Macaca fascicularis: one gene and its partners. The protein of the gene in region 1 interacts with the protein of each later gene in a pairwise test. Links are inferred from orthologs where the notes say so. Each region holds a gene or a part of one and is shown on either strand. Other genes may lie near its edges.

Region 1 (8,222 bases):
CATCATCTCATATAACTCACATTCGTTTGAAATAGTTTCTACTATACCTGTTTCACAGATGAGGTAATAGAGACCCAAGGAAGTTAAATTACTTGTTCAAGTTCACAAAGCTAGCAAGTAGAGGAGCTGGGACCTGGCCCAAGCTCTTTCTTATTCCAGAACCAGAATTCTTAAACTTTCCTATTCTGCCTCCTATAGGTAGTTGCAAAGGGGGACAAAGTGCTCAACATGAACTCTACTATAAATTTCAGGTACTTATCAAAAACACTTTTTACAGTAGCTATTTCAATAGATGACAATCCCTCTATACCATTCAGACTATTAGATCTCCTAAGGTGTCTCTAAACATGTAATTTTCAGGGGAAGTATTTGCTCTGCCATACGCATAGGGGTGCAATCACAGGCTCTATCCAGACTGATTCTATCTGGTGACCAGGCAGTGAGATATCACATCAAAGGTGACTCAATCTAGCTTAATAATGGGGAAAGCAGAAATACAGTGAAAGCTGTCAAGAGACTTTGCATCTTTTGGAAAAACTATCCTACCGTTAAACATCTGGAGCTTCTCCAAAAGTGAAGAAGGTCTCTCTCCTTGTGCAGTTAAATCATCAGAACTCTTCATTGAGAACAGCTGCTTTTCAAAATTAAATTAAATTAATTGTTTTTTTGAAACAGGGTCTTGCTCTGTTGCCCAGGCTGGAGTGTAGTGGTGCAATCACGGCTCACTGCAGCCTCCACCTCCAGGGCTCAAGCAATCCTTCCATCTCAGCCGCTGGGACCACAGGCATGTGCCATCATACCTGGCTAATTTTATTATTTATTTATTTATTTATTTATTTATTTTTTTGAGACGGAGTCTCGCTCTGTCCCCCAGCCTGGAGTGCAGTGGCCGGATCTCAGCTCACTGCAAGCTTCGCCTCCCGGGTTTACGCCATTCTCCTGCCTCAGCCTCCCGAGAAGCTGGGACTACAGGCGCCCACCACCTCGCCCGGCTAGTTTTTTTTTTTGTATTTTTTTTTTTTTTTTAGTAGAGACGGGGTTTCACCGGGTTAGCCAGGATGGTCTCGATCTCCTGACCTTGTGATCCGCCCATCTCGGCCTCCCAAAGTGCTGGGATTACAGGCTTGAGCCACGGCGCCCGGCCTTATTATTTATTTTGTCTAGACCCAGGGTCTCACTCTGCTGCCACGGCTGGTCTTGAACTCCTGGGCTCAATGGATCCTCCCATCTTGGCCTCCCGAAGTGCTGGGATTACAGGTGTGAGACACTGTGCCCAGGTGAGAACAGTTTCCATAAGATGACAAGGCTGAAATGAAATTCTAGGTGGTATAATTTTATCATCTGACATTTATTTAATGCTAGTTTTTCTTCTAGTGGGTAAAAATTTTAGATGTTTATCTATAACTGACAAACACAGGCCTAAAGCCTGAGGGCTACTAATTAATTAAAAAGTCAAATCATAAATATTCTAAACACTACTATACTTTTCAATCACATACCAGAAGACACATCCCGTTTTCATAAAACTATTTTTTTTTTAAGACAAGTCAGGTACAGTAGTGAGAACGAAGGGAAAGAGTAAAAGAAGGAGTTTGATCTGTAACTGAACGATCAACTGAGATAACTAATGGCCTCTGGAACAGCTAAAACTCAGTATTTTAAACCAAAAGGTAAGACTTAGTCTGCACCTGGGTAGTCTTTGGACCATGGAGAAAATACCAAAAAATAATAAAGAGGTCAGATAAGTCCCTGCTTAGCTAATATTCTTCCTCTCTTGTGGCTTTTTTCTAAACAGCTTCATTCAAGTATACTTGGTATATATAAACTGTACATATGTAATGCGTTTAGTTTATATATATATAAACTATACATATGTAATGCGAATATTTAGTTATGTTTAAGGATGATTTTGAATTAAAATTCTTCATAAAACTAAGAGTATATTGTCTTATTAAAGAGAATGTCTGACTGAATGTCTATACCAACATTCATTTAATAACAAATGAGTTTTGAACTATATGTGCCACATACAAAAAAAGTCTAAGAATACAATCATGTAGAGAATAAAATCTTTAGTTAAAGAGGTCCCTTCAGGCCAGGTGTGGTGGCTCGAGCCTGTAATCCCAGCACTTTGGGAGGCCAAGGCGGGTGGATCACTTGAGGTCAGGAGTTCGAGACAAGCCTGGCCAGAATGGTGAAACCCCATCTCTACTAAAAATACAAAGAAAAAAGAGCTGGGTGTGGTGGCGTGTGCCTGTAGTCCCAGCTATTCAAGAGGCTGAGGCAGGAAAATCGCTTGAACCTGGGAGGTGGAGGTTGCAGTGAGCTGAGATCATGCCACTGCACTCCAGCCTGGGCCTTGCAGAGACTCCATCTCAAAAAAAAAAAAAAAGGCCCCTTCATAAAAACTAGTTATTAAATGCTCTATGAGCTCCTCTGGAATGATATTTTCACAACAAAGGGTCTGTGAAATGGACCCTGCTTAATTAAATAGCTCTTTTAAGGCTAAGGACTCGAGCTTTTCATTTCATTTAAACCAATGATTACAATGAAGTTCAGACCTTAGTGACTATGAATTACTATATGCCTGGAACAGTGGCAATGTCCAGATTAATAATCCTAGCTTGAGCACAGAAATGGGAGTATGCTACCCCAAAGAAAGTTATATGACATGAAGACTTCAGATCACATACCCAACTAACTTAACTTCGGTAGAAAATATAAAACCAGAAAAGTGTGGATCTATATTTTTTAGCATTATGCTGCTGGTAAGACAGAACAAAAATTACTACTCTTGACCTTTTATTAACAGCCTAAAAGCTGAATATATTCTCAAATTATATTAAATGTAAGTGTCATATCTAAACAAGCTAGTTGCATGTCAACAACCTAACAAATAAACATCTTTTTAATTCAGATACCATTTATAAACATACAGCATTCTGGATAAGTGAGGTTTAAAAATCCAAAATTCATAGCAGGAGATTTAAAAAGATTCTCTCTTTTTAAATATAACTTTGCTAGTAGTTTTTGTTAGGTTATTTATTTTATTTAAAGTCATTTTGGCTGGGTGCAGAGGCTCATGGCTGTAATCCCAGCGTTTTGGGAGGTCAAGGCAGGAGGACCACTTGAGGCCAGGAGTTCCAGACCAGCCTGGGCAACATAGTGAGACCCTGTCTCTAGCGAAAAACAAAACAAAAAAGTGCTGGGTGTGGTGGCACATGCCTGTAGTCCTTGCTACCTGGAAGGCTGAGATAGGATAGTTTGAGTCCATAAGTTGGAGGCATCAGTGAGCCATGACTGTGCATGCCACTGCACTCCAGCCCGGGTGACAGAGTGAGGCCCTATATTTAAAAAAAAAAAAAAAAAAAAAAGTCATTTTGATGATACAATAAAAGAGAAATTGTTTTTTGAAATTTGGTAAAGCAGAATAATATAAGCACAATCACATTAAAGTGATATAACCAATCTCTAATTCCAACTAAATTACTGAAGAGTCCTTTTATCTTTAGGAATGTTTTTATGTCACAAAACTACCACCCAACCTGCAGAAAAGGTAAAGAAACCATAGAAAAAAAAGTGCATGTTCACATTTGGGCACATACAGTATTTTATTTTATTATCTTATTTCATTTTATTTTTGAGACAGAGTCTTGCTCTGTTGCCCAGGCTGGAGTGCAATGGCACAATCTTGGCTCACGGCAACCTCCATCTCCTATGTTCAAGTGATTCACTTGCCTCAGCCTCCCCAGTAGCTGGGACTACAGGCGTGTGCCACCATGCCTGGCTAATTTTTTGTATTTTAGTAGAGATGGGACTTCACCACGTTGGCCAGGCTGGTCTTTAACTCCTGACCTCAGGTGATCCATCCGCCTCGGCCTGCCAAAGTGTTGGGATTATAGGCATGAGCCACTGTGCCCGGCCAAGTATTTAAAAAAATTAATTATAAAATGTTGCAATCTATACTCTCACCTCTTTCCATACAAGTCTGAGTGGAAGGAAAACCAACTTCCCAAAAATTCTCTGGTGTGTTGGGTGGAATGTAGCGGAATCGGTGTCTTGAGCAGGAAGCCAACTTCTTTTCTCTTTCTTCTGCTGGCATATCTGCATAATACTAACAATAAAAACTGGTAAGTTTTTTCACTGAAGAATAATAAATGGAGTGTTATGCTTATTGATTATAAACTAGAAGCTAAAAAAGCCATTTACTAAGATATTCAGCATTCTAAGGAAACTTAATCCTCACTGATGATACTATTAGTAATTAATTCTTATAGACAGTACTGATGTTGGTCTGTGAAGTGCCTGCTTCACTGATGAGAAAAGGAGCTTGTATCACAATGTAAACCAATAAAGTGCTTCCTTCATCAATAAAGTCTTGCAATGAAAAAAAAAGAAAAGCCAGTTGAACTTGACAGTGTGCTTAGTGATACAGTGGATTTATACACTGGTAGAAAGTCTTTATCCTTATTAGGCCAGTAACAAAAATTCAGAGGTCTACATGTTTCTTAATTGTTATCTGAATATAATGTGTGTTTCAAGGTAATTTTCCGATCTCTACGGTTTTAAAAAACAATTTAGATCTGAATGTTGTAGGCTCCATGAGTTCTCCCTTTAAGGTTTCAGTTAGGATCAAAAGCATACTATTTTTTGGCAACTGTGAAAACACAGAACTTGAACTTCATGCACACAAGGATAAAATTATATGTAAAAATTGTACAGGTTTTTAAGGCCTAGACCTAATGAAAACAAAGCAGTAGTATAAGGTTTAATAGAACATAGATGGACAGAATCACTTTTTTTTTTGAGAGACAAAGTCTTACTCTGTCACCCAGGCTGGGGTGCAGTGACACGATCTTGGCTCGCTGCAACCTCCCACTCCTGTGTTCAAGTGATTCTCTTGCCTCAGTTTCCCAAGTAGCTGGGACTACAGGCATGTGCCACCATGCACAGCTAATTTTGTCTTTTTAGTAGAGACGGGGTTTTACTATATATTAGCCAGGCTGGTCTCGAACTCCTGACCTCAAGTAATCCACCTGTCTCAGCCTCCCAAAGTGCTGGGATTACAGGAATGAGCCACCCAGAATCACATATCTAATCCAGCCAATTCCTTCACTTTACACTTGAGAAATTGAAAATGAAAGTGGTAATTTGCTAAAGATATCACCTATTGAAAGTGACAGACTTAAAACTAGAATTTAAGTTTGAAGTAAAAGCTTTTAATACATTTCTATTTTACGTAGATTAAAGGCTTTAAAGAAGTGTGAAACAACTTTATTCAGGTATCTTTTTCATCATTCTCACGGCCCTAAGTTTAAGCCTTTGTTACCTTAGTCTGGGCTTTGGGATGAGATGACCTTAGAGAATCAGGGATTACTGGAAAAAACATTGCCACTGAATTAAAACATACTTGAGAAACAGTAGTCGGTCAGTGCAGTTCTAAGACGGCAAGCAAATGGGTGAGTGGTAGAACAGGAAATCAGAGAGGAAGTGCAGTGCCAGAGTTTGTTGTCCTTGATAAGGACTTTAGATTCTTTTTCTTAGTGGGATGGGAGGACACTAAAGGATTTTGGGAATGACATGATTTAACTTTCATTCTAAAAAAAGGCCATTCATTGCTGAGCTGAAAGTACATTGTTAACAGACAAGAATGAAAAGTAAAAGAGAATGAGGACAGAAGTACATGGGAACTCTATGTACTTTCTGTACAACTTTGCTGTGAACCTGTAACTGCTCTAAAAAAATAAATATTTATTTATTTCTTTGAGATGGAGTTTCGCTCTTGTTGCCTAGGTTGGAGTGCAATGGAGCGATCTCAGCTCACTGCAACCTCTGCCTCCTGGGTTCAAGCGATTCTCCTGCCTCAGCTTCCCTAGTAGCTGGGATTACAGGCATGCACCACCACATCCAGTTAATATTTGTATTATTAGTAGAGACAGGGTTTTACAATGTTGGCCAGGCTGGTATTGAACTCCTGACCTCAGGTGATCCACCCGCCTCAGCCTCCCAAAATGCTGGAATTAGAGGCGTGAGCCAGTGTGCCCAGTCAAAATAAAAGTTTTAGAGTAAAAAATAAATGACCAGGAGAGCACTTAGAAGCTATTACAATTATAAAATGTTGGCTGGGTGCAGTGGCTCACGCCTGTAATCCCAACACTTTGGGAGGCCGAGGTGGGCGTTTCACAAGGTCAGGAGATTGAGACCATCCTGGCTAAGATAGTGAAACCCCGTCTCTACTGAAAATACAAAAAAATTAGTCAGGCGTGGTGGCGGGTGCCTGTAGTCCCAGCTACTCGGGAAGCTGAGGTGGGAAAATGGCGTGGACCCAAGAGGCAGAGCTTGCAGTGAGCTGAGATGGTGCCACTGTGCTCCAGCCTGGGCAACAGAGCATGACTCCATCTCAAAAAAAGAAAAAAAAAATTAAAAATGTTGCCTTGGTCCAGGGCATTAGTGGTGGTGACAGTAAGTGGATGGATATGGGATATATATATATATATATTTTTTTTTTGAGACGGAGTCTCGCTCTGTCGCCCAGGCTGGAGTGCAGTGCCCATATCTCGGCTCACTGCAAGCTCTGCCTCCCGGGTTTACGCCATTCTCCTGCCTCAGCCTCCCGAATAGCTAGGACTACAGGTGCCCGCCACCTCGCCCGGCTAGTTTTTTTTTTTTGTATTTTTTAGTAGAGACGGGGTTTCACAGTGTTAGCCAGGATGGTCTCGATCTCCTGATCTTGTGATCCGCCTGTCTCAGCCTCCCAAAGTGCTGGGATTACAGGCTCGAGCCACTGCACCTGGCCTGATATGGGATATATTTTGAAGGAAGAATCAACGAATCAATGGGGTTTGTTGATACGTAAGTTATTGAGATGTGAAATAAAAAAGTAGTGAATAACTACAAGATCTCAGGACATATAGGAGATTCAGCGGTGAGGTTTGGGAATTGAGGGCAGATATTGTATGTTTGTTTTTGGACGTGTGAAATTTGAGATCACTACTGCAGATCCACATGAGTATTGCACACTCAACTTGTGGAATAGGCAATGGGATACATTTAAGAACTGCAAGCTTGTAGTTAGTATTTAAGTACATGGGACTGGCACTTACACTTCTGTTTATGATTGAGTAACAGAACAGATTCACCCTCCTACCTAAATTAACTAGAAAAACTAAAATGTACACAATAATGTTTTGCAGAGATTGGATAACAGAAAACACGGGAAATGATTATTGAGAATGAATGCAACTTAACAGCTTTTCTATCAAACTAGCTTTTTTCTAACTAGTAGGATTAGTTCTAGATCGTAGAATTATGGATATAACTAAAAATCAGAGATTTACTCAATGCGGACCATATTCTTTTTTTTTTTTTTTTTGAGACGGAGTCTCGCTCTGTGTCCCGGGCTGGAGTTGCAGTGGCCGGATCTCAGCTCACTGCAAGCTCCGCCTCCCGGGTTCACGCCATTCTCCTGCCTCAGCCTCCCGAGTAGCTGGGACTACAGGCGCCGCCACCTCGCCCGGCTAGTTTTTTGTATTTTTTAGTAGAGACGGGGTTTCACCATGTTCACCAGGTTGGTCTCAATCTCCTGACCTCGTGATCCACCCGTCTCGGCCTCCCAAAGTGCTGGGATTACAGGCTTGAGCCACCGCGCCTGGCCGCGGACCATATTCTTTAAGAAATCATGATATATTGAATTTGTGTAATGATAACTCACGAACTCACATTATAGGCTTTTGCTTGTATTGCCAAACTGCTTTTCAAAATAGTGATCCCCATTGTTAGTACATAAGAGCATATTTTTACCCAATGCTTACCTGCATTACAATCTAGTCATACTTTCACATATAATTTTCATGTGCTTGGTTATCAAATTTTCTAGCCCACAGGTTAAAAAGGAAATTTAAAAGGGGAAGTAAATTGCTGAAGGCAGGCATCTGAGAGCTAATGGACAACAAGGGAAGAAATAAAAACAGCATGTTCCAGGTCAAAACAGAACCTGCCTGGGACTATTTAGTAAAAGGACAATCAGTACAGTTGGCCCTTCATATCCTTGGGTTCTGCATTCATGGATTCAACCAGCCATGGATCAAAAATATTCAGGAAAAAAACCTGCATCTGTATTAAACATGTACAGACTATTTTTCTTGTCATTCCCTATGCAATACAGTATAACAACTATTTACATAGCATTTACATTGTAATAGGGATCATAAGTAATTAGAGGT
Region 2 (8,222 bases), on another chromosome or scaffold:
CCTATTTCATCAGAAAAGTCTTTTATAATATTAGGACTCTGCCAAGCTTTCAGTGGTAGATACAAGTTTCTAAAATTCTAATTTTTACTTGAAAACACAAAATTTATCATTGGCAACCTTTACTGTCAGTTTTCTTTGTTTTCTTTGAAGTGACAGGCTCACTTTGTTCATTTGCAAGAATCTACCACATACCCAAGCAAGAATAAACACAATTGCTCATCAGTCTTAGAAGTAACACATGTGTTTCATGAAAAGAGTGGTTCAGTTCACAACTCAACCAATAAAATAAGTATTTTTCCTCAAGACAACTATCATACCTTGGTATGTAACTTTCTACATCCTTCAATTTTACCACATTGAATATTAAAAAGACATACTCAAGAGCGGAGATTTAATAATAATAAAAAAAAATATCATACAGGTCTGTAGCCTAGAAGCAACAGGCTATTCCTACCCTGATGTGTAGTAGGCTATACCACATAGGTTTGTGTAAGCATACTCTATGATGTTCACACAATGACAAAATAGCCTAAATGAAGTATTTCTTAGAATGTATCCCCATAATTTAGCAATGCCTGACCACAGTTAACTTAAAGCTCCCATTCTAGTTTTTTTGGTTTTATGTTTTTGAGACAGAGTCTCGTGTTGCCCAGGTTAGAGTGCAGAAGCACAATCATGGCTCCCTGCGGCCTTGACTTCCCGAGCTTAGGTGATCCTCCTGCCTCAGCTTCCCAAGTACCTAGGACCACAGGTACATGCCACCACACCTAGCTATTTTTTTTTAAGAGATGGGGTCTTGCTTTGTTGCCCAGGCTGGTCTTGAACTTCTGGGCTCAAATGATCCTCCCACCTTAGCCTCCCAAAATACTGGGATTACAGGTGTGCACCACACACCTGGTCTAAAGCTCCTGTTCTATAAACCTGCATTTGATTCCTTTGACCTTCTTTCTATGCTGGATAATTTTAGAATTGCATCCTGAATATCATAAATGTTAAATTGTGAAGATCCTAAATTCTGCTATTTTTCTAAAATGAGCATGGTTTTGTTGTTTGTTACAAGAAGTAATTATCTTTGCTTAACTTGAACTGTTCTGTTTATTGGGCAGCAACTCCAGTCTCAGTTCAGATCCTCTGCCCTTCATTTGGCTGCTCTGAGTCTGTTATACACAGGAACTATTCAGATTTCAGACAGAATCTGGGTACCCTTTCTTGGCTCTTTCCCTTGCAGGATTCTTCCACTCTCTTCAGTGGCCAAGGTTTCCCCAGCTTCAACTTTGCAGTTTCCCTGGTAAAGAGACCCATAGTTTTCCCACTGACATTCCTGCCCTACCATACTGTCCTTCCCTATACCTACTGCACTTAGCCCTAGACTAAAAGCCTTCTCCTCAGGCTCCCAGCTCCCCTCTTCTCTTTCTCAACTAGAGTCTGTTCTTCCTGTCCAGTAATTTCAGTCAATTACTATTTGTATTCCAAACAGGTAGTATCGTGGTCTTTTTTTTTGCAGAGAGTCATATGGTAGGGTTTTCTTCCAACATTACCAGAGGAATGTGTCCTCCACAGGAGGTTTTTACCGGAGGAGTTAGCATGATGAGATTTACATTATGAGCAGATTTCTCTGGCTGCTGTGAGAGAAAGGCCTCAAGGTAGCAAATGAGAGATCAGTAGGAAGAGTCCAGAAGAGTCCAGGAAAGAGAGACCATATAGAGAATAAAGCACCTGATGTATTTTGATTTATAAACATTTATTGAAAAAATATGATAAATTCTGAAAATACTGAAACTAAGGCATCCAAATTTCATTTCATCACCTGCTGGCATTATAAGCCTCTTAACAGATTTAATAGGGTCAAACACCTGGAGGTCATTTCATCTAACCCTTAGGCATGATGCATTCTAAAGCACCTGTAATCCCCCAAATTTTCAGAGAATGAGATTTCACTAGGTTTCTCAACAGACTTTTCCAGCATCTTACACTCATATTGCCCGTTAATCTCTCTGGGATGAAAAGAAACAGAAGTGGACTTTTTCCTTCTTTATTCTTTTCTCAAGGCTGTCAAGCAAAAATGCTGAACCCAGTTCCCCACACAACCATTAAAAATAAGATGATATTCTTTTTTTCATTAAATTATTGGCAGGAGAGAAGTAAGCGGCACCTCATTTGAAATTTCCCTCAGTCAACAACTCTGTGTGAATATGTTCCTATCAATCTACAGTTTAAACGAGAATTTTTTATTGTGACACAGAATCGAAAGACCTTCTCTGGGTCTTTATCTGGGTGTTGTTTACATGGATGTATTCAATTTGTGACAAATTCACCAAACTGTCACTTGAGATATATACTTTTCTCAATATATATTTCAAATAAAAAAAAAAGTCTGTGAAAATGCAAATGTATCTAAGCCATATCCCTTCTCTATAATGTCAATTCTTCTCACAGGAAAAAATACACAGCATCCTGTTTGTGTGGCATAACTTATCTTCACAAAGCCACCCACTACCACTCAAGGGTTTTATGATTAAAAATGTAACATAAAATTCAAACACTAAAAATATATGACTAAATAAAAGTCTTCTATAGTTTCATCTGCCAAAGAACCACATTTAATATTTAAATTCGGAGGCTTATGACTTCCACATCTCCTATTGTAAATCAATTATAGTCTTTTCCAAACTTTGGACTTGTCACTTCTTCTCCAAAAATTTTCAAAAATAAAGGAATATTGTTTAGAAGCCCTAAATAATTGAGCTAGACAGACTTGCATACAAGCAATTTTTAAACAGTAAATTTTTATTACTTCCTACACAATTTTCCAAGCCTTTATGTTTTTTGTAGCCTCACAATATCTCTCTCAATTCAAGGCATATGGCATATGTTCAATAAATATGTGTTGATAGAAATAAAATTAACTCTCTAAAAGAAATAACAATAGTCACTTTCAGATGATATGGTAATATCTCAATATCAATTTCTGGGAGGAGAGGACACATAGCCTTTAAAAAGTACTCTATGTGCTTATTTTATTTACTTATCTATTTATTTATTTTTACTTTCACTTAATTCCCCAGATTCAGAAAGTTTTCTCCTAAGTACTCCTTATCAAGTGTAAGTTCATTCCATAAGTAGTTACCAAATTCAATAATAGGAGTATAACATTCTTCTATCAATTTCCCATGCTTCTCTCCTCTATTCACTGTCTATATGGCAACACAAGAAAACACTAAGAAATAAACTATTGCTTAGTCATTAAAAATTCAAAACATAAAGAAATTAAAACTAAGGTTACATGTGCAAATTAGGATTATAGCATACCTAAAGTCTTAATTTTTAATTACCATTTCTATATACTGATACAAATTAAAAGATATATACTTAGCATGCAACACAGTTTCAAAAGAAACCATTAATCTACAAATCTGATGATTCACAAAGTATTATCCAACTATGCAGATTTGAAGAGCATAAACTCAAGTTGCCAATTTTATTAAAACAAAAGCCTTATCAATAGTTATAATGCTATAAAGAGAATCCTAGACAATATAATTTGTGCCCCTATAATGATTGAACCAATACACCAATACCTATAATTGAACAATAGTATAGATTTTTATACTCTAATAATGGGAAAAATGAATCCTATTATATTCAACAAGAAAAAAATGCACTTTTTAATAATCTAAATAACATAATCTCACAATTTAAGAGCAGACATTTACATTTTCAAACATAATGACGACTGTATTTTAAATAAATTATCTAAATACTTTAAAGAATTATGTTCTGTTTTAGAACAGAGCCCTCAGAAAGAATACCACACATCTACAACCATCTGATCTTTGACAAACCTGACAGAAACAAGAAATGGGGAAAGGATTCCCTATTTAATAAATGGTGCTGGGAAAACTGGCTAGCCATATGTAGAAAGCTGAAACTGGATCCCTTCCTTACACCTTACACGAAAATTAATTCAAGATGGATTAAAGACTTAAATGTTAGACCTAAAACCATAAAAACCCTAGAACAAAACCTAGGCAATACCATTCAGGACATAGGCATGGGCAAGGACTTCATAACTAAAACACCAAAAGCAATGGCAACAAAAGCCAAAATTGACAAATGGGATTTAATTAAACTAAAGAGCTTCTGCACAGCAAAAGAAACCACCATCAGAGTGAACAGGCAACCTACAGAATGGGAGAAAATTTTTACAATCTACCCATCTGACAAAGGGCTAATAACTAGAATCTACAAAGAACTTAAACAAATCTACAAGAAAAAAATCAAACAATCCCATCCAAAAGTGGGTGAAGGATATGAACAGACACTTCTCAAAAGAAGACATTTATGCAGCCAACAGACACATGAAAAAAAAATGCTCACCATCACTAGCCATGAGAGAAATGCAAATCAAAACCAGTGAGATACCATCTCACACCAGTTAGAATGGTGATCATTAAAAAGTCAGGAAACAACAGGTGCTGGAGAGGATGTGGAGAAATAGGAACACTTTTACACTGTTGGTGGGACTGTAAACTAGTTCAACCATTGTGGAAGACAGTGTGGCGATTCCTCAAACATCTATAACTAGAAATACCATTTGGCCCAGTCATCTCATCATTGGGTATATACCCAAAGGATTATAAATCGTGCTGCTATAAACATACATGCACATGTATGTTTATTGCCACACTATTCACAATAGCAAAGACTTGGAATCAACCCAAATGTCCATCAATGATAGACTGGATTAAGAAAATGTGGCACATATATACCATGGAATTCTATGCAGCCATAAAAAAGGATGAGTTCATGCCCTTTGTAGGGACATGGATGAAGCTGGAAACCATTATTCTGAGCAAACTATCGCAAGGACAGAAAACCAAACACTGCATGTTCTCACTCATAGGTGGGAATTGAACAATAAGAACACTTGGACACAGGAAGGGGAACATCATACACTGGGGCCTGTGGTGGGGTGGGGGGAGGGGGGAGGGATAGCATTAAGAGATATACCTAACGTAAATGACGAGCTAATGGGTGCAGCACACCAACATGGCACAGGTATACATATGTAACAAACCTGCACCCTAGAACTTAGAACTTACCCTAGAACTTAAAATATAATAATAATAAAAAAAAAGAATTCTGTTTTGTTTTAAAGTGCCATGTTTTAAGAAAAGCTATTCTTAAATAAATCACTATGCTGTATTAGATGGTTTAGGGCGCTCGAATAAAGCTCCATTCTAATATTCTACTTGATTCTTGGGCTACAGACTGAAATAACATTATTCATTATTGCCTATTTGTTCTTGAGGTAGATGTTAAGAAACACCTCTCACTAACAGATAATTTGTTAGCCATATGCACATGAATGAATTTCTTCAATTATGTAGCTAGTTACTTACTGAGAGCCATGCAAGGGATTCCATGATTCGATGTTCACATCGTTCTAAGTGTTTTATCATTTCTCTTGTCAAGTTGCCTTCTGCTTTGATAAAACTTTCAATCACTTTGTAAAAATCAAAGGCTTTCAAATTAAGCACATTCAGAATCCATGGGAAAGACAAATCTGTTCCAGAATCAAGATTCTGAGATGTACTTCCTAAAAATGAAAAAAAAAAGTAACTTAGATATGAAATATTAACCCTTGAGCTAGGTATTTTTTTGGAAAGTCTTATCAAACAAAGAAAACAGTAGAAAGGTTAAACGATTTTTATTTAGAGCAGAATTTTTTATTTTGGAGTCTACGGACTCATAGGAAATAGCCTTCCAATTTTGAGTGTATGCACATCTATATTTTTCCTAGAGAAAGGGCTTATAGCTTATCTCAAATTTTCAAAGGTTTAAATACCCTAAACTTATATCAGAAACAGGTTTAGTATCTTACCAGCCATTTATTAGCATATCTATTTTAATTCTCATTAATCCTTGGTAAGAGGAGAGACAGATTCTTCAAGATCCTGCTAATTTCATTAGTCAGAAAATGGTATCTCTTTAAAATATGCATTTCTTGGTTATAAATGAGGATTCACAGTTTTCCTTATTTGTTTACTAATAAGGAAACTAGAAGTTCCTCTTTCACTGTGTTTTGCATCCTTTACAAATGTTCCTTTTGTTTCTGCAAGCAAAACTTTCTTTTAACATTTGCAACATAATTTGCAAAGTGATATACATTTATATTTTTAAAAACACTGTAACTGGCCTTTGTTCTGTTTATCCAGTGGGTTCCAGCTTCAGTCTTTAGTTTCATAACCATGGAGGTTATAGCAGTGCTTCCATATCAGTAGAGGCTACTCTTGAATACTCCTTTGGCACTCTACAATCTCACAGGTCTTCGGAGGGATTTCAAAATGTACCTTTTCTAAATTCAGTATACCAGTATACTCAGAAGAGGAGCCTAGTGAAATATTATCCCCAAGATGGCCTCAAATAATTCAAATAAGCCTCTTAAATGGCTTATAATGACCAATTACATTGTTCAGTATATAGTGATCTAAAATAAGCATTCCTTCTCCTTAACCTCACACTATCCCTCTCCTCCCACCAAAGAAACACACTACATTTTAACTTTAAATTGAACAAAAATGTTTATTCATGAAAATTTAACTTACTGCTATATGTGGCCATTACAACCTCAAGAGCACACGCCAATAAAGACATATGAAAAATGTTGTCATTCAGAAGTTTGCTAAAGGAAAAAAAAAGATTATAAGATATTTACTTTTATAAAAAGAAAAAAAAATTGTTTTACTAAAAGTAAAAAATTTACCTAAAATTTTGAATGGATAATCGTTCTTCTTCCTGAAACAGATAATTAAAAAAAAAAAAAAAAGAAGTTGTTTAATTGAAACCTTATTTGTGTTAGCATTGAAATTTTTGTTGTTTTTTTTTTTGGTTTATTTTTTGTTTTTTGTTTTTAAGATGGTGTCTCACTCTGTTGCCAGGCTGGAGTGTAGTGGCACGAACTTGGCTCACTGCAACCTCCACCTCCCGGGTTCAAGTGATTCTCCTGCCTCAGCCTGCCGAGTAGCTGGGACTACAGACGTGTACCACCATGCCCAGCTAATTTTTGTACTTTTAGTAGAGACAGGGTTTCACCAAGATGGCCAGGATGGTCTCGATCTCTTGACCTCATGATCTGCCCACCTCGGCCTCCCAAAGTGCTGGGATTACAGGTGTGAACCACCATGCCCGGCTGAAATTTTTTTATATTATTTTCAACTTACTGATTTAAGCATGGATTCCATTACTCGGTAATACAAGCGAACTCCAAGTTTGTATCGCTACAAACAAACAAAAAGAAAAATAAGAGCCTGCTATTTTAGAAAATCACAACTACTAATTTTTTTTTTTTTTTTTTTTTTTTTTTGAGATGGAGTGTCACTATTTTGCCCAGGCTGGCCTTCACATTCCTGGGCTCAAGAGATCCTCCTGCTTTGGCCTCCCAAGAGACTGGGATTATAGGCATGCACTTCTATATCCAGCTGACAATTACTAATTTTTTAAAAAGCCTTTTCTTAAAACATACTTCTCTTAGAAATATGGCCGCCAAGAAAACACAAAAGCTAGCTTGTCTAAAACTCAAGACTTAAGTATTAAGTGGTGATTAACATTCCCAAGTAAATTAACAAGAGGGTAGGTCCAGTACCTGAATTTCCTTAACTCATTTTAGTCTATATCATTCATACTAAAGATAGGTTATATGCCCAGTACTATTTTAAGCACTTTATGTGCCTTCTATAACATTTCTCATGACCTAGGACATGTATTTTCAAGATGGTTGTCTAGGATTAAGAGGACAGTCTTTGTCCATAAATTTAGTAAAACTGACACAGAAAAAATCAGATCAAACTGACCTTATGAGCAAGACGTTTTAACCAAATAACTGGTTCCCATTATTTGAAAGAATAACCAAATTTTAGAGATATAAACACACACCATATTATTTCATTCCAAATTAAGAGCAAAAATCTCATACACGATCATGCACCACATAACAATGTTTTTGGTCAATAACTAACTGCATATATAACAGTGGTCCCATAAGATTATAACAGAGCTGAAAAATTCCTTTTGTTTAGTGTAATGTTGTAGTGCAGTGCATTACTCACATCTTTGTGATGATGCTGATGTAAATAAACCTATTGCACTGCCAGTCATAGTATAGCACATACAATTATGTATGGTACATAATATTTAATAATGAATATGTTACTGGTTTATGT
Region 3 (8,222 bases), on another chromosome or scaffold:
AAAATAGTATAACACACATAATCATGGTGTTACCTTACTAACAGGAATTTAGTTTTTAATAACTAACTGAATTTTATTCTACTGGCTTGAGAAGCAGCTGCCTATTTTGAGAACTACATGAGTTAGTATGATCATATATAATTAAGTTAATGTCACAGAAACCAAAATGATAATAGTTTACAAAAGAAGAAAGTGCCCATTTATTGGGTTGTGACATCAGGCTGAGATGGCTTAGGGCTGGAAAGCAAGGATGAGTATAGCATTGGGGCTCAGGTACAAATCTGTTTATAAAGCTCAAGGAGAGAAAAGGCACGAGAAGGAGACAACCCTGAATGGTGGTAGCACCTGGATGTGGAATTACCACAGTGGGCCAGAGACAGGCTGGTACATAACCCTCTGGCCAGGTACTATGGGAACCAACCCCTTCCTTCAATATTAAATTGAGAATACAAATATCTCAAAGCATGCTTACCAAAAGTAGATTATTTATCCTCATATTACAACACACAGGAGGAGGAGACATTTATTTTTAAAAGAGAGCTAAAAAGTTATGGGGTTTCTCCTAATTTCAACTTGAAAACTAACTTAAGGAGCAAACATTAAAAAAAAAAATCCCTATTAATATATACATATTTTTGAGATGGAGTTTTACTCTTGTTGCCCAGGCTGAAGTGCAGAGGCACAACCTAGGCTCACCACAACCTCCGCTTCCTGAGTTCAAGCAATTCTGCCTCAGCCTCCCAAGTAGCTGGGATTACAGGCATGTGCCACCACACCTGGCTAATTTTGTATTTTTAGTAGAGATGGGGTTTCTCCATGTTGGTCAGGCTAGTCTCAAACTCCCGACCTCAGGTGATCTGCCCGCCTTGGCCTCCCAAAGTCCTGGGATTACAGGCGTGAGCCACTGCATCTAGCCGGACTATTAGTATTTTTTTTTTTTTTTTTTTGAGACGGAGTCTCGCTCTGTCGCCCAGGCTGGAGTGCAGTGGCCGGATCTCGGCTCACTGCAAGCTCCGCCTCCCGGGTTCACGCCATTCTCCTGCCTCAGCCTCCCCAGTAGCTGGGACTACAGGCGCCCACCACCACGCCCGGCTAGTTTTTTGTATTTTTTAGTAGAGACGGGGTTTCACCGTGTCAGCCAGGATGGTCTCGATCTCCTGACCTCGTGATCCGCCTGCCTCGGCCTCCCAAAGTGCTGGGATTACAGGCTTGAGCCACCGCGCCCGGCCACTATTAGTATTTTTAAAAGGCACTTAAAATATTCCTTTCCAGTCCAACTCAAAATACATCTCTGTCAATTACATTTTGGATAAATATTTTAAAAAGCACATTTTTGTGCAATTTTTTTCTTATAATCCAGCAATATTTACCATCCATAGGGCTAAAAGGTTTGAAGGACAGAGCTCCAACTTTCTGCAGAACAATCTGAAAGTGCTTTTATCATAGAAGCAAGAACATTAATGATTTGCTCTTTCACTGACAACATCCTGTAGTCGTTTCAGTAAAACATCATCATTTTCTTGACAGACGCGTTTGGCAGGGGATTCTGCATCACTATCGATGGCTATTACTCGCTTCTTGGTTCTCTGCTCACCTTGCCTTATCATGTTGTTGATCTCTTTCAAACTCTGTGCAGAAATAGAGAACGTGTGTGAGTAAAAGAGGGAGAAGGGAAATGGCAGCAAACAACCAAGTGAATTGTTTTTTCCTGTGTTCTATCCTCTATCCAAATCTTCACACTGGGATAAGGATTCTTTTTAAAACTTAGAACAACCTCATAAGGGATGGCTTGAACTAATCTTTTCAGGTGGCTTAAAAATTAGATTTAAGGCCAGGTGTGGTGGCCTGTAATACCAGCACTTTGGGAGGCCAAGATGGTTCAATCACTTGAGCCCAGGAGTTTGAGATCAGCCTGGGCAACATGGCAAACCTGGTCTCTACAAAAAATACAAAAATTAGGCAGGTGTGGTGGCCTGTGCCTGTAGTCTCAGCTACTCGGGAGGCTAAGGAGCATCACCTGAGCCTGGGGAGGTTGCGGCTGCAGTAAGCAGTGATCATGCCACTGTACTCCAGCTTGGGAAACAGAGTGAGACCCTGTCTGAAAAAACAAAACCAAAACAACTGAATTCACTGTATAATAGTAGTTCTCGATGACCAGAAGCAGAAGAAGCATCTATAATTTTTTTATTTTTTGAGACAGGTTCTCTCTCTGTTGCCCAGGCTGGAGTGCAGGGCATGATCTTGGCTCACTGCAAGCTTCACCTCCTGGGCTCAAGCTATTCTCCTGCCTCAGCCTCCCTAGCTGGGACTACAGGCACATGCCACCATGCCTGGCTATTTTTTTGTATTTTTAGTAGAGACAGGATTTTATCATGTTGGCCAGGCTGGTCTTGAACTCCCGGCCTCAAGTGATCCCCCAACCTTGGCTTCCCAAAGTGCTGGGATTACAGGGGTGAGCCACCATGCCTGGCCTTATCTGTTTTTTTTTTTGTTTATTTTTGAGACGAAGTCTTGTTCTTGTCACCCAGGCTGGAGTGCAATGGCACGATCTCAGCTCACTGCAACCTCTGCCTACTGGGTTCAAGCGATTCTCCTGCCTCAGCCTCCTGAGTAGCTGGGATTATAGGTGCCCACCACCATGCCTGGCTAATTTTTGTATTTTTAGTAGAGACGGGGTTTCGCCATGTTGGCCAGGCTGGTCTTGAACTCCTGATCTCGTGATCTGCCTGCCTCGGCCTCCCAAAGTGCTGGGATTACAGGCGTGAGCCACTGCGACCAGCCCTAATCTGTTTTAACAAGCCCTCCCAATGATTTTAAAGCTCCCTACAGTTTGAGATCCTCTTCCTTAGAGTAATGCTTTTCAATTTTTTTTTTTTTTTTTGAGACAGAGTCTTCTTCTGTCGCCCAGGCTGGAGTGAAAAAGGGGTGATCTCGGCTCACTGCAACCTCCGCCTCCTGGGCTCAAGCGATTCTCCTGCCTCAGCCTCCTGAGCAGAGTAGCTGAGATTACAGGTGCGGACCATCATGCCTGGCTAATTTTTTGTATTTTTAGTAGAGATGGGGTTTCGCCATGTTGCCCAGGCTGGTCTTGAACTCCTGAGATCAGGCAATCCGCCTGCCTTGGCCTCCCAAAGTGCTAGGATTATAGGCTTGAGCCACTGTGTCCAGTCAGGTATATTATCTTAGCCAACTTTGTCAAGTATAGTGAGAACTCTGTAGGCATCTGTATAACTTAATAGGAAAGTAATAAGAAGGAGCCAATGTATTTGGACTGAATTACAATATGCCCCACTACAATTTCTTCCAGTTTATACTGATTCTGACTTCTGGAGACATACTGAACAGATCTGCTTGACAGTCCATGAAGTATCTGAAAACAGCAATCATGTCCATATCACATCTTCACCACTCAACAAGGATAAGGATGGAGATGATCACAGAGTTGTCTATGTACATAAGAGGAGGCTTGTGTTTTCAGACGTCTTCCTATCTTGGGTGCCATCTACCAAATGCACTTTCACTTCCAATGCCTTTCTTTCAACTTGACATCCCCCAGGTCTGACCACTTGCAGATGTTGCTTTACTGGTCCCTTCTCAAGATCTTGCTTGAACAGGAAAACATGCTGGACTTTCAAAATGAACTCCACAAATACCATGTCAATAATAATGGATTAAACTACCTCAAACTGAATATACTGCTCTTGATGAGAGGAGACATGCCATAGTTAACATTTCATATTTTATTAGTATAGTAGAAACTTGGCCAAAAACAAAAAAAGAGGCAAGATTAACAGTTACTGACTGTTAATGTGAAATCCAGCTTTTAGCCTATTCACCTTACCTTAGAAGGGCTGCCATTGAACTTGTACAGCAGAGTGCTTCTTGGTGTAAGGCCTGACCCATTCTTGTGTGGGGAAATATAAATGGAGTGCTGTTGGGAAATGCGGCGTGGTGAGCCTGGCTGTTGTTTAATATGTGGAAAAGGAGAGAGTGGTGGAGCATCCATCTAAAATAACCCAAAAGTCAGATTTTTTAGATAAAAGTTTTTCTTTGTTTTTGAATCCCATATTTTTATTCTTTTTTTTTTTTTTTTTTTTTTTTTTGAGATGGAGTCTAGCTCTGTCGCCCAGGCTGGAGTACAGTGACCGGATCTCGGCTCACTGCAAGCTCTGCCTCCCGGGTTTATGCCATTCTCCTGCCTCAGCCTCCTGAGTAGCTGGGACTACAGGCGCCCGCCACCTCGCCCGGCTAGGTTTTTTTTGTATTTTTTAGTAGAGACGGGGTTTCACCATGTTAACCAGGATGGTCTCGATCTCCTGACCTTGTGATCCGCCCGTCTCGGCCTCCCAAAGTGCTGGGATTACAGGCTTGAGCCACCGCGCCCGGCCATTTTTATTCTTATGATATCTCCTAGTTAGGAATCAGTTATACTATAAAAGCTCATTTATGGTTGAGAAAAGCAAAAAAAAAAAAAAAGATCTGTTACTTCTTTTTTTTTTTTTTGTTTTTTACAACAACAACAGATAAAGTAGAATTTATTTTCTTGGATCTTTTTTTTTTTTTGAGATGAAGTATCTCTCGCTCTTGTTGCCCAGGCTAGAGTAAGATGGTGCAGTCTAGGCTCACTGCAACCTCTGCCTCCCAGGTTCAAGCGATTCTCCTGCCTCAACCTCCCAAGTAGCTGAGATTACAGGCATGTGCCACCACGCCCAGCTAATTTTGTATTTTTAATAGAGATGACCATCTTGGCCAGGCTGGTCTCCAACTCCTGACCTCAGGTGATCCACCCACCTCGGCCTCCCAAAGTGCTGGGATTATAGGTGTGAGCCACTATGCCCTGCCTATTTTCCTGGATCTTTCAGGAAGTCCTATAACTAGTATTAAGAATTCTGGCCGGGTGTGGTGGCTCACACTTGTAATCCCAGCACTTTGGGAGGCCGAGGTGGGTGGATCACCTGAGGTCAGGAGTTTGAGACCAGCGTGGCCAGCATGGTGACACTCTGTCTCCACTAAAAATGCAAAAATTAGCTGGGCGTGGTGGCACATGCCTGTAATCCGAGCTATTCGGGAGGCTGAGGCACTAGAATTGCTTGAACCCAGGAGGCAGAGGTGTTGCAGTAAGCCCAGATTGTGCCACTGCACTCCATCCTAGGTGACAGAGCAAGAATCTGCCTCCAAAAAAAAAAAAAAAAAGATTTCTGGGGCCAGGTGCAGTGGCTCACTCCTATAATCCAGCACTTTGGGAGGCCAACATGCTCTGATCACTTGAGGCCAGGAGTTGGAGACTAGTCTGGCCAACATGGCAAAACCCCACTTCAGCCTCCTGAGTAGCTCCTAAAAATATAAAAATTAGCCAGGTATGGTGGCATGCGCCTGTAGTCCCAGCCACTTGGGAGGCTGAGCATGACAACTGTTTGAACCCAGGAGGCAGAGGTTGCAGTGAGCCGAGTTTATGTCACTGCACTCCTCCCTAGGTGACAGAGTGAGACTCTGTCTCAAAAGAAAAAAAAAAAATTCTGGACAAGACACCAGGAGTTAAGCCACGAGCACGAGAACCTCATATTCATGCTTAAAAAGTAAGGACAGGCTGGGCAGGGTGGCTCACGCTTGTAATCCCAGCACTTTGGGAGGCCGAGGTGGGTGGATCATGAGGTCAAGAGTTCAAGACCAGCCTGGCCAAGATGGTGAAATCCTGTCTCTACTAAAAATACGAAAATCAGCTGGGCGTGGTGACAGGCGCCTGTAATGCCAGCTACTCAGGAGGCTGAGGCACAGAATTGCCTGAAGCCGGGAGGTGGAGGTTGCAGTGAGCCAAGACTGTGGCCACTGTACTCCAGCCTGGGCAACAGAGCGAGACTCCTTCTCCAAAAAAAAAAAAAAAAAAAAAAAGTAGGGACAAAGAATAACCAATCTTCTAACACTTGCTATAACAATCTCTCTCTACACACACACAAAATCTCTCTCTACCCCACAACCAAAGCAGTAGCAGAGAGAATAAAAGAGGCAGAGAATTCTATAAGCCAGCAGAATGATTCTGACATGGAAAAAAATCTGTTAATGAAATGGGAAACACTTCATATGGAAATGGAAAATATTTAGAAATAAGTTGGATGAGCAAGGATTTCATTTTCTTTAATATCCTGTATAATGGAAATAAATTAAGATGGTAGAGATATTCAGAGTATATAGACAGAGGGGAAGTGAAACTGGAGTAGGATGAACAGTTATGACCTCTGAGGATAGTCATAGACCATATTCCATGAAAAGAGGAAGAACAGAAATGTACAGATGCACACAGATACATAGAAACAGCTATTGGCTGGCTGGCTGCAGCTTCTGCTAGGGCCTTCTTTTCTTTTCTTTTTTTGAGGCAGGGTCTTGCTCTGTTGCCCAGACTGGAGTGCAGTGATGCGACTGTGGTTCATTGCAGCCTTGACCTCCTGGGCCCAAGCGATCCTCCTACCTTAGCTTGCTGAGTAGTTGGGACCACTACTTGGGTGTATACCAGCCACTACATGGCTAATTTGTAGAGTTTTTTTTTTTTTTTAAAGAGACAGGGCCTTCTTATTTTTCCAGGCTGGTCTCAAATTCCTGGGCTCAAGCAATCCTCCAGGCTTAGCTTCCCAAAGTGCTGGGATTACAGGCTTGGGAAGTGCCTGGCTGGTCTCTTTTTCTTAGAGCTAAAGTCTGGTCTTCTGGGAAGCAACCTCAGCTTACACACTGGTAACACTTTCTCAGGCCTGCTGCGACTGCCAAAACTGGGGTCTGCATAATTTTTTTTTTTTTTTGAGACGGAGTCTCGCTCTGTTGCTTGGGCTGGAGTGCAGTGGCATGATCTTGGCTCACCGCAAGCTCCACCTCCCCGGTTCACGCCATTCTCCTGCCTCAGCCTCCCTAGAAGCTGGGACTACAGGCGCCCGCCACTATGCCTGGCTAATTTTTTTTTTTGTCTTTTCAGTAGAGACAGGGTTTCACTGTGTTAGCCAGGATGGTCTCAATCTCCTGACCTCGTGATCCGCCTGCCTTGGCCTCCCAGAGTGCTGGGATCACAACCGTGAGCCACCACGCCTGGCCTGCATAAAAATTTCTTAGTGGTGCCTCTATTAATGATCCAGGCCTATCTACTTCCTTTTGCCTTTTTTTTTTTGAGACGGAGTCTTGCTCTGTTGTCCAGGCTGGTGTGCAATGGTGCAATCTTGGCTCACTGCAACTCTGCCTCTCGGATTCAAGTGATTCTCCTGTCTTAGCCTCTCACGTAGCTGGGATTACGGGTGCCTACCACCATGCCCGGCTAATTTTTGTATTTTTAGTAGAGATGGGGTTTCACCATGTTGACCAGGCTGGTCTTGAACTCCTGACCTCACGTGATCCACCTGCCTCGGCCTCCCAAAGCACTGGGATTACAGGCATGAGCCACAGCGCCTGACCTCCTTTTGTCTTTTTTTTTTTTTTTTGAGATGGAGTTTCCTTCTTGTCACCCAGGCTGGAGTGCAGTGGCACAATTTCTGCTCACTACAACCTCTGCTTCCTGGGTTCAAGTGATTCTCCTGCCTCAGCCTCCCGAGTAGCTGGGATTACAGGTGCCTGCCACCACGCCACCTAATTTTTGGTAGAGATGGGATTTCACCATGTTGGCCAGGCTGGTCTTGAACTCCTGTCCTCTGGTGATCCACCCACCTCGGTCTCCCAAAGTGCTGGGATTACAGGCATGAGCCACCACACCTGGCCCCTTCTGTCTTTAACTTGAGAAAAACATTAATCTCACAATGTAACAACAGAAAAATTTACCAAATTTGCTGGGCGCAGTGGCTCATGCCTATAATCCCAGCACTCTGGGAGGCTGAGGTGGGCGGATCACGAGGTCAGGAGTTCAAGACCAGCCTGACCAACATGGTGAAACCCTGTCTCTACTAAAGATACAAAAAATTAGCCAGGTGTAGTGACATGCTCCTGTAATACCAGCTACTGGGGAGGCTGAGGCAGGAGAATCACTTGAACCTGGGAGGCGGAGGTTGCAGTTGAGCTGAGATCATGCCATTGCACTCCAGCCTGGGTGACGGGGTGAGACTCTGTCTCAAAATAAATAAATAAATAAATACAAACAAATTAATTGTTTTAATATTCATGTTCCCATCAAGTTCTTACCCATATGTACACGGAATTTCTAGTAACATAATCATGGTATAGATAAAATTTCTGCCAGGCGTGGTGTTTCACACCTG

The links. The genes of interacting proteins can lie anywhere in the genome.
Region 2: the proteins of RBBP8 (region 1) and RB1 interact in a two-hybrid assay, tested with the Homo sapiens proteins (2 studies listed by BioGRID). The link is inferred for Macaca fascicularis from reciprocal best matches to the Homo sapiens genes RBBP8 and RB1.
Region 3: the proteins of RBBP8 (region 1) and RBL1 interact in a two-hybrid assay, tested with the Homo sapiens proteins (2 studies listed by BioGRID and IntAct). The link is inferred for Macaca fascicularis from reciprocal best matches to the Homo sapiens genes RBBP8 and RBL1.

What each region holds. Positions count from the first base shown.
Region 1 is NC_088392.1:66,744,653-66,752,874, forward strand, and holds part of RBBP8 (DNA endonuclease RBBP8), read right to left. Parts: intron 4,115-8,222; coding exon 3,973-4,114; intron 1-3,972. UniProt on the Homo sapiens protein: Endonuclease that cooperates with the MRE11-RAD50-NBN (MRN) complex in DNA-end resection, the first step of double-strand break (DSB) repair through the homologous recombination (HR) pathway.
Region 2 is NC_088391.1:27,515,178-27,523,399, reverse strand, and holds part of RB1 (retinoblastoma-associated protein), read right to left. Parts: intron 7,281-8,222; coding exon 7,224-7,280; intron 6,799-7,223; coding exon 6,767-6,798; intron 6,686-6,766; coding exon 6,609-6,685; intron 5,600-6,608; coding exon 5,403-5,599; intron 1-5,402. UniProt on the Homo sapiens protein: Tumor suppressor that is a key regulator of the G1/S transition of the cell cycle. The hypophosphorylated form binds transcription regulators of the E2F family, preventing transcription of E2F-responsive genes.
Region 3 is NC_088384.1:93,116,980-93,125,201, forward strand, and holds the end of RBL1 (retinoblastoma-like protein 1), read right to left. Parts: intron 4,007-8,222; coding exon 3,842-4,006; intron 1,629-3,841; coding exon 1,458-1,628; 3' UTR 810-1,457; downstream 1-809. UniProt on the Homo sapiens protein: Key regulator of entry into cell division. Directly involved in heterochromatin formation by maintaining overall chromatin structure and, in particular, that of constitutive heterochromatin by stabilizing histone methylation.